Alligator mississippiensis: one gene and its partner. The protein of the gene in region 2 interacts with the protein of the main gene of each other region in a pairwise test. Links are inferred from orthologs where the notes say so. Each region holds a gene or a part of one and is shown on either strand. Other genes may lie near its edges. The genes, in order: NPY and NR1H2.

Region 1 (3,903 bases), about 120 Mb from region 2:
TATAACATTTTTATGTGGTCACTTCTCAAAAATAGGTAGTGTTTGAACTGTTGTTCTAATGATTAAATCAGCTGACAGAACTTGCATTTGACACGTGAGATATAAGAGAAGAGGCAGGAGACCAATAAAAACTCACATGTCTGAAAGATGGAAAAGACAACAGGCAGAGTGGAAAGATAATTTTGTCAGGTGCCAGAGGTCCAGATGAAAAGTTATCAGATCACAGGCTAACATGAATGCTATACAGGATAGCAAATTGAAGATGCGTCTTTTAAAAATGTGGGGCTAAAGAGCAGTCTTGTTATAAGTCCCTTCATCTGCTGTCTCTGACATTGGTGCCATACCAGACAATGTCAACATTTTGCTAGGAAGGCTCTCAGTTAAAAGATATCCTTCCTTCTAATTTAATTCTTCAGACTTCAAGAGGAAACAAACCAATGAAAATGTAATTAAAGATATCTCATCCATTTCTGATACTAAACGAATTGAATGATAATTCAAGCCTTTCTGGGCCACATGCTGTTCAGGGGTTTCAAGCGAAGTGCATTCCTCTGTTAACCAGAGGAATTAAATTGGACGACTCTTCCAAATAAAGGGATTTACTTGGAATTTGGCTGTACACCTGGCTGTATTTTTACCTTTCACTCCAGTTTAATTTTTTACCAGACTTCAACTAGTTAGGCTCAGTCCTAGATCCCTTTTCTAAGGAAAGGAAGGTTTGGTAGGTTTGCATTACTGGTGCAACTTTTCTTTTTTTTTCCCAGTCGTACCTACTAGGTTAAGCAGCTGTTAAGAAACACAGGATTTCTGAATTACTACAGGACTTCAACAAGAACACAGTTCCTTTCTCCAGGAAACTTATATTAGACGTAGTAGCCACAATGGAAGTGTAAAAGTGGTTTTCTTCCTCTGCCTCACACTTTCATGCTCCAAGTTGGTTATATTTTATTTCCCTCCCTCCTCTGTCCTACTGCTTATGTTCGTGTCCAAACTATGCGTGTTAAAACCTAACAAGACTGAAGGAAATCAGGCTCAGGTTGATACAGCCCTTTTCCCGCCATTACTGTCTGCATCTTATGTTCTTAAGCTAATGAAGTGGCGAGTGTTGAGAGTACTGACAGGGCTGTTTTACATCTCCTCCAGACTCCCACTAGACCATGCTCAGGACCTTATGCCAAGTCTCTACCTAGAACAGGGTGAGATGGCTGTATTTTACACCTGGGAGGTATGAAGAACCCATCATTCATAAATCATACCGGAGTTCAAGCAACACTCCACATAATGTTCATTGCTGACTGCTGTAGATAGGGAAGAAACTTCTCACATAGAGAAGTGTCTGAGATGTTAATTTATTTCCCCTTTTTTCTACGGATTAAAATTCAAGATTCTCCTGTGAGTCACCTTTTGTCCCGTGTTTCTTAGAGACCTGGAGAAGAGGTGTGCTGAGGAATACAAAGGCTTCCTCCCCACAGGATAGCCTAGCCTTATCTACCCTCCATTGCCACGCTGGGATGCACATTGCCTTACCTCTGCCTTGTGATGAGATTGATGTAGTGCCTCAGTGCCGAGTAGTATCTGGCCATGTCCTCTGCTGGTGCATCCTCTCCAGGATTGTCCGGTTTGGATGGATAAGCCTCTGCCAGTGTCCCCAAGCAGATCAGCAAGGACAGGGCAAAAGTCAGCACGGACAGCCACAACCTCATGGTTCCCTGCATCTGCACAACACCGGGGGGTTGGGGAAAAGGGGCAGAAAAGAGCATTAAACTGTATGCCTGTGGGCAAAACTTTGTGAAAGGAGACAGAAGTCGGCAGGCGCCAACCTGCTTTTCTCCTCAGAAGAATCCCAGGCCAAGCGCTCAGCGCTCACGCCTGCCCGGCGCAGCCAGGAGCTGTCCTGCAGCCTGCTCCACATGCAGGAAGGCTTGGCGGGCAGCCGAGAAACTTTGAGCGCCTTCTCTCCACCCCGCACCTTGCTGAGGGGGCAGCGCACAGCCTCGCTCACCTTACTAGTCGCTACCAAGTACTTCACTACACACTTGGATTTGGGGGCCGGGGGGAGCGGCAAACTAACCGACCCAGGAGGGTGCAGGCATGAAGCCCAGCGCGCCGGTTGCAGGCGGCGCGTGCGGCAGGCACCAGCTTGCTGCGAACTAGGAGCTCCGCGGGGCAGGGGCAGCGGCGGGCGCGGAGAAGAGCCGGGCGGGGCGGGCTCACCCCGGGGCAGGACGGGCTGGGGCGGGAACAGGGAGCGCCCGAGGCTCCCAGCTCGGCGCAGGAGCGGGGACAAGTCCTTCCCGCGCCGGGATGGGGGAGAGGCTCCGGCAGGGCGGGCTGCTCGGGGCCGCCCGTACTCACGTTGCTGTCGGACAGCCGGGCTCTCGCTCCTCCTGCAGCCTCTCGCCCGTGGCTCGGCGCTGCTGTGTGCGGCTCAGCGCCTCGCCCGGGTTTTTTATGGCTTGCCCGGCGAGACGGGAGGGGCCTCGGTGGCTCCGGTCCCACCCCCGCCTGCCCCCCCAACCCCCGCGGCGTGGCGCGGCGCGGGCTCCGGCTGCCCCTCCGACTCCCCCACCCCCGCCCTTCCCAAGCGGGCTCTGTGCCGGCCCCGCTGCTCGGGCCCTGCTGGAGGTCCCGCTCCGACTCTGTGGCCTTGCCCGTGCCCCTTACACCGACTCCAGCCCTTGACGGCCGGCCGAAGAAAACCCGGCCTTGGCACCCGGGTCCTGTGAAAACCCAGAAACTGGCCCAGCAAAACGAGCAGGCGCTGGGGCCGTGGAGGCAGGGAGAGCCACCAGCACAACTACAGCAGTTTAGGGAGCCTAGGAGAGCTGGGCTAAGATTGCGCCCTGTGTGGACATGCACTTCCAAATGAAAAGGGACCTCTTCCCCTAGAGCAGGGGTTGGCAACAGTTTGGGGCAGAGTGCCAAAACCCCCTGCAACCTCAACTTGTTGGCGTGCCAGGGGCAGGTGGCAGCGGAGCAAAAAGGGGTCTGGATCCCTGTTGTGGCCGCGCAGCCCTGACCCCTTTCCCACCACCCACCTCAAGGTGTGCGCGCCAAGCAAAACACCTTTGCGGGCCACGCTCTGGCACCTGTGCTAGGGGTTGCTGAACGGGCTGTAGAGCTTCCACTGGCTCCAAAGCGCACAAGGTTTGACAAGAACAAGTCGTATGACAGCAGCAGCAAGAGGGGATTCAAATGGCTCCTAGGAGTATCTGGGACCTCTTGAGCACAGATTGACATTTTACAGAAGCAGGAGGTTGTTCGCTGCCCTGGTTCCCCTGCTTCACCTGTGGCAGGTTAGGGTGTTAGGTCTGCGTGCATCAGGACTGAGGGTAGTCTTAGGTAGAGTTTTTTTACAGTATGGTTATATGTGACAGTTTGGAGAGGGATGATCCTGCCTCAGGCAGAGGGTTGGACTAGAAGCCCTCAGGAGAAGCCCTACTTCTCTATGACACTAATGCCTATGCATTTTGGTGTCAGAAAACAGCAACTGCACATCCATTTGCCAGCCTCTCAGGCTTCATTCGCAGAGCTACAGAAAAAATAACAGCCAGTAATCTAACAAAAGAGGAAAAATGTATGCTAGCAAATAAAGTGATCGCCTGACTTTCAAATCAGGTGTTTCTGGTTAGCTGCTCATCTTTTTACCCTCCTATTTCTGTTCTGCTAACATATTATTTTATTTGATTTTTTGTCTTTAGAGTTAAATAAAACAAAAAAATTATAAATATGAGTAGTAAACACCCCATCAATTACTTTTAAGACTACAAAATAAACCCAGAAGATTTAAAAAAATGGACAGAAATAAATTAACTCAACTTACTCTGTTAAAAAGGTTGCTGTCTACCCACCAGCTACTCCAAGAACAGAGTCTCAACATTTCCACCAAACTAAACCCCTATC
Region 2 (3,903 bases):
CCAGAAGCCTTTCCCTTCTAGAAGGTGCCTGCCCAGATCCAACCCCAGTGCAGGGGCATGGGCTGGCACAGGGGACAGGGATAGAGCAGGGGCCTTTCCTTTTTAGGGGGTTCCAGCCCTGAAGCATTGTGGGCCTGGGCAGATGAGTGTGGGGGTGCCCCCATGAGGCAGGCCTTGGGTTTTGAGATCCCTGTAGCATTTCCTGTCCTGGTACAGAGACCTCCCCCCAGCCCCAGCCAGGTCTTCTCTCCTCTCTGGCCCCTGTTGGGGGTGGGGGGGTCCAGTTTTGGGATGGGCGCCTTTCAGCGACTCCTGTATAGGGAGCTCAAACCTGCCCCTTAGAATCCCCACCACCCACGTGACTCCCCAGTACAGGGGCTCTGTCTATGGGCTGGAAAGCAGGAGCAAGCTACAAACCCGGGGGCAGGCTGCATCTGGGGAACCCCTCGAAGTAGGAAGCTCAAGCTTACCCCCCAAAATTTCCCCCCCGCCCCGCCATTCAGCCCAGTGTTGGGCAAGGGGATTGGATGGCACCGGTGCATTTGAGAGGCTATATATTTCCAATGCGGGGGGGGGGGGGGGGCTATATCTCATTAACTACTAAATCCAGCAAACTCAAATTTGCTTCCCATAGCCCCCCCACCGGGTTCCTGCTGCAATTTCCAAGCAGACCGGACCATGCCACGGCCAGCTAAGAGGAAAACACCTTCCAGATTGGGGGGCCTATTTTGGGAATCCCTAAGTCCAGCGTGCTCAGATTTACCCCTCTTAACCCCCGCAGCCCCCGGAATCCCAGTGGCGATTTCCAAGCAGATCGGACCATACTGGAGGGAGCTGAGAAACGCGCCCCCAGGCTGGAAGGGGGTTTCCTATCTCGGGAACCCTTCAATCCAGCGAGCTCCAACTGCTCGCGTCCCCCCCCCCCCCCAGACAAGATTCAGCCGGATCCCGGGATCTGTGCTGCGACTTCCGAGCAGATTGGACCATGTTGCGGGGAGCTGAGAGGGGAAACACGTTTCCAATGTTAGGGGCTGTATGTCGGGAACCCCTCAATCCAGCGGGCTCAGACTTGCCCCCCAAAATACCCCGACTCTGCGCCGCGGCTCCTGGGGGGAGGGGGGCGGTCGCACCCGGCAAGGGATTTTTTTGAGGAGTGACGGGGGTAGAAAGCAGATTTCCGCTCCCAACAGCAACAATGTTGCAACCTCTGCTGCGGGGGGAGGGGGCTAAGTGGGGCAGCCCGAGCCCCTCCGCCGCTCCCCCACCCCCCAGGGCACGGGGTTGGGGGGGACAGCCGGTTCCACCCCCCCTTCCTCCCCAATTGCACCGGATCCGGGGGGGCTGGGCTGGAAGTGACGTGGATGTGGGGGTTCCCGGAAAGGCCCGTGTGAATGCGTGTGCGTGTGTGTGTGTGTGGGGGGGGGCGCCTGGAAGGAGACAGGTATGGGGTCTGGGATCGGGGGCGGGGCCGGGAGGGCTGGGATGGGGGGTAGGGGCAGGCATGGAGCCTGGGATGGCGAGGCTGGGCAGGCCAGGGGGGCTGGGATAAGTGCAGGGTGAGCCAGGCAGGGGGCTGGGATCGGGACAGGGGGCTGGGAGTTTGTGGGGCTGGGGATAGCAGAGGGGGGTCGGGAGGGGAAGGAGGAGAAGGAAGAGGCAGGGTTGGGGGAGGGACAGGACCAGAGTAGGGTCCAGGACCCAGTTATGAGGTGTGGGGGGCAGAGAAGCAGGTGCCTGGGGGGGATTGGGGCTGAGGGGCAGCACTGGGGGTCCGGAGCTGGGATGGGGGGAGTGATGTGGGGCTGGGCTGGGAGGTAAGGGTAGGGCATGAGGGACTGGGATTGGGGGGCCTGGGCAAGGTGGGGGGGGCAGGCTGGGGGACTAGGAGCTTGTAGGGTTTGTGTGAGGAGAGCAGAGGGGTCTGAAAGGAGGAAGGGTGGGCAGCAGGATGGGTCCAGGACTTGGTTATGGAGTGTGTGGGGGGCAGAAGCAGGGGCTCTGGGCAGGGAGTTAGAGGGGCAATCAGGGATGGGAGGAGTTCTGGGGGTTTAGAGCTTGGATTGGATTTGGGAGGGAGTGAGGTGGGGCATGGGTGGCAGCCCCAAGCAGGGGAAGGGGCTGGGGAATGTCGGGGGGGGGGAGTGGTAGGTAAGGGGGCACTCCCTGCCAAACAGGAAGGACCCCACTTCCCTTTGCTTCTCAGAGTTATTCCCCTGGGAGCAGCCCAGACCCTGAAGGATCCCCCAGAACTTGCCCCAGTGCCCCCCAGGGCAGTGCCATGTGGCCCCTGCCCAGCTGAGCCTGCCCCCAGGAGGTGGTGGACATGGTGAGAAGTGGGAGATATTGGTTGTGGGGGGCCTGGGGGTGGTTCCCTCACAGCTCTGTGGGACAGCGGTGAGTGCTGGTGGGGTGGGGTGGGGGGTCTGTTTCTGCTTGTCTGACCATCCTTCTGTCTCTCCTTCTGTAGCACTGGGACTGGGTGCCACTGGCAGCCCACCACGCCCCAACATGGCCACACCGGGATCTGACCTACTGCCGGGTGAGTGACGGGCAAATTGGGGTGTGGGTGTGGGGTCCCTTTCTGTGACAGAACCCAGGCATCCGGGCAGTGGCTGCCCTTCCACCCCCCCCAAGTAACACAATAATCCCTGCAGGAGAACCCAGGCATCAGAAGCCCCATCAGAGGAACCCAGGCTACTTCCCTCTGGTGTCCAGGCATCTGAGGACCCACAGCCTCCCTTCCCTTTGCCCCAGTCCTGCAGCACTCCACCAAAGACCCAGGTGTCTGGGCAGCCACAGGCTTCTCCTTTGGGGATACTACTGCTGACCTCTCTCCCCCACTTCCCCCCCACTTTCCAGAGAACAGGGAGCCTTGGAGCCCAGCCCCCACCAGAGCCCCTGACCCAGAGTTGAAGAACGAGGGCCCCCACTCCCAGCTGGAGTTGGGAGCTGTAGCAGACAGTGAGGTGCCGGGCACCGATGGGGAAGGAACCGCCCAGAGCACTGGTGAGGGGCTGGGGGGTGGTGAATGGGGTGGGAGGGGCTAGAGCAAGGGGTGAGGAGTGCATCTGTGGGTGCTGGGCTCAGCAGGGCAGGGGAGCTGGCTGTCAGTGGGGCTGCAGGGACAGGGGGCCCTGGTGGGGCTGAATGGGTGAGAACTGAGGAGAGTAGCTAAAGAGATGGGGGGCAGTGGGGCATGGAAGCAGTGGAGGGGTATCATTGCAGCCAGTGGGGGGGCAGTAGGGCATGGGGGGTCCAGTGGGGAGCAGTGTATGGGCAGGTCACTGGGACATGGGGAGCAGTGGGGAAGTAATGGGATATAGGGATAGTGGGGCATAAGAGGATAGGGAGCAGTGGGGCATGGAGGGGCAATGGAAGGGTGTCAGAGGGCCCAGTGCGGGGACAGTGGAGAATGGGGGGCAGTGGGGTACGAGGGCTAGTGAGTTGGGGGCAGTGGGGGGGGGTCAGTGAGGCATGGGAAGTAGTTGGGGGGTCAGTGGGGCATAATGGGCAAGGCTCAGCAGGCAAGGCCTGGTGCTCTGAGCCTGACCCTGATGCCCCACTTTGCTCCTCTATCCCTATGGCTGCAGGGGAGGAACCGGTGCGGCGCCACCGCAAGGGCCCGGCGCCTAAGATGCTGGGCACAGAGCGGTGCAGTGTATGCAGGGACAAAGCCTCAGGCTTCCACTACAATGTGCTGAGCTGTGAGGGCTGCAAGGGCTTCTTTCGCCGCAGTGTCATCAAGGGGGCACAGTATGCCTGCCGTGGTGCTGGCCAATGCCACATGGACCCCTACATGCGCCGCAAATGCCAACTGTGTCGCTTTCGCAAGTGCCGCCAGGCTGGCATGCGAGAGCAGTGTGAGTGCTTGGGGCCATGGGCTGGGGGCAGGCTGGGAACATG

What was found.
Region 1: the proteins of NR1H2 (region 2) and NPY interact in a two-hybrid assay, tested with the Homo sapiens proteins (3 studies listed by BioGRID and IntAct). The link is inferred for Alligator mississippiensis from reciprocal best matches to the Homo sapiens genes NR1H2 and NPY.

The regions. Positions count from the first base shown.
Region 1 is NC_081828.1:158,224,029-158,227,931, forward strand, and holds the start of NPY (pro-neuropeptide Y), read right to left. Parts: upstream 2,464-3,903; 5' UTR 2,356-2,463; intron 2,097-2,355; exon of another isoform or gene 2,003-2,096; intron 1,716-2,002; coding exon 1,528-1,715; intron 1-1,527. UniProt on the Homo sapiens protein: NPY is implicated in the control of feeding and in secretion of gonadotrophin-release hormone.
Region 2 is NC_081828.1:40,185,204-40,189,106, forward strand, and holds the start of NR1H2 (oxysterols receptor LXR-beta), read left to right. Parts: upstream 1-1,356; 5' UTR 1,357-1,441; intron 1,442-2,203; 5' UTR 2,204-2,326; intron 2,327-2,467; 5' UTR 2,468-2,508; coding exon 2,509-2,539; intron 2,540-2,859; coding exon 2,860-3,006; intron 3,007-3,590; coding exon 3,591-3,860; intron 3,861-3,903. UniProt on the Homo sapiens protein: Nuclear receptor that exhibits a ligand-dependent transcriptional activation activity. Binds preferentially to double-stranded oligonucleotide direct repeats having the consensus half-site sequence 5'-AGGTCA-3' and 4-nt spacing (DR-4).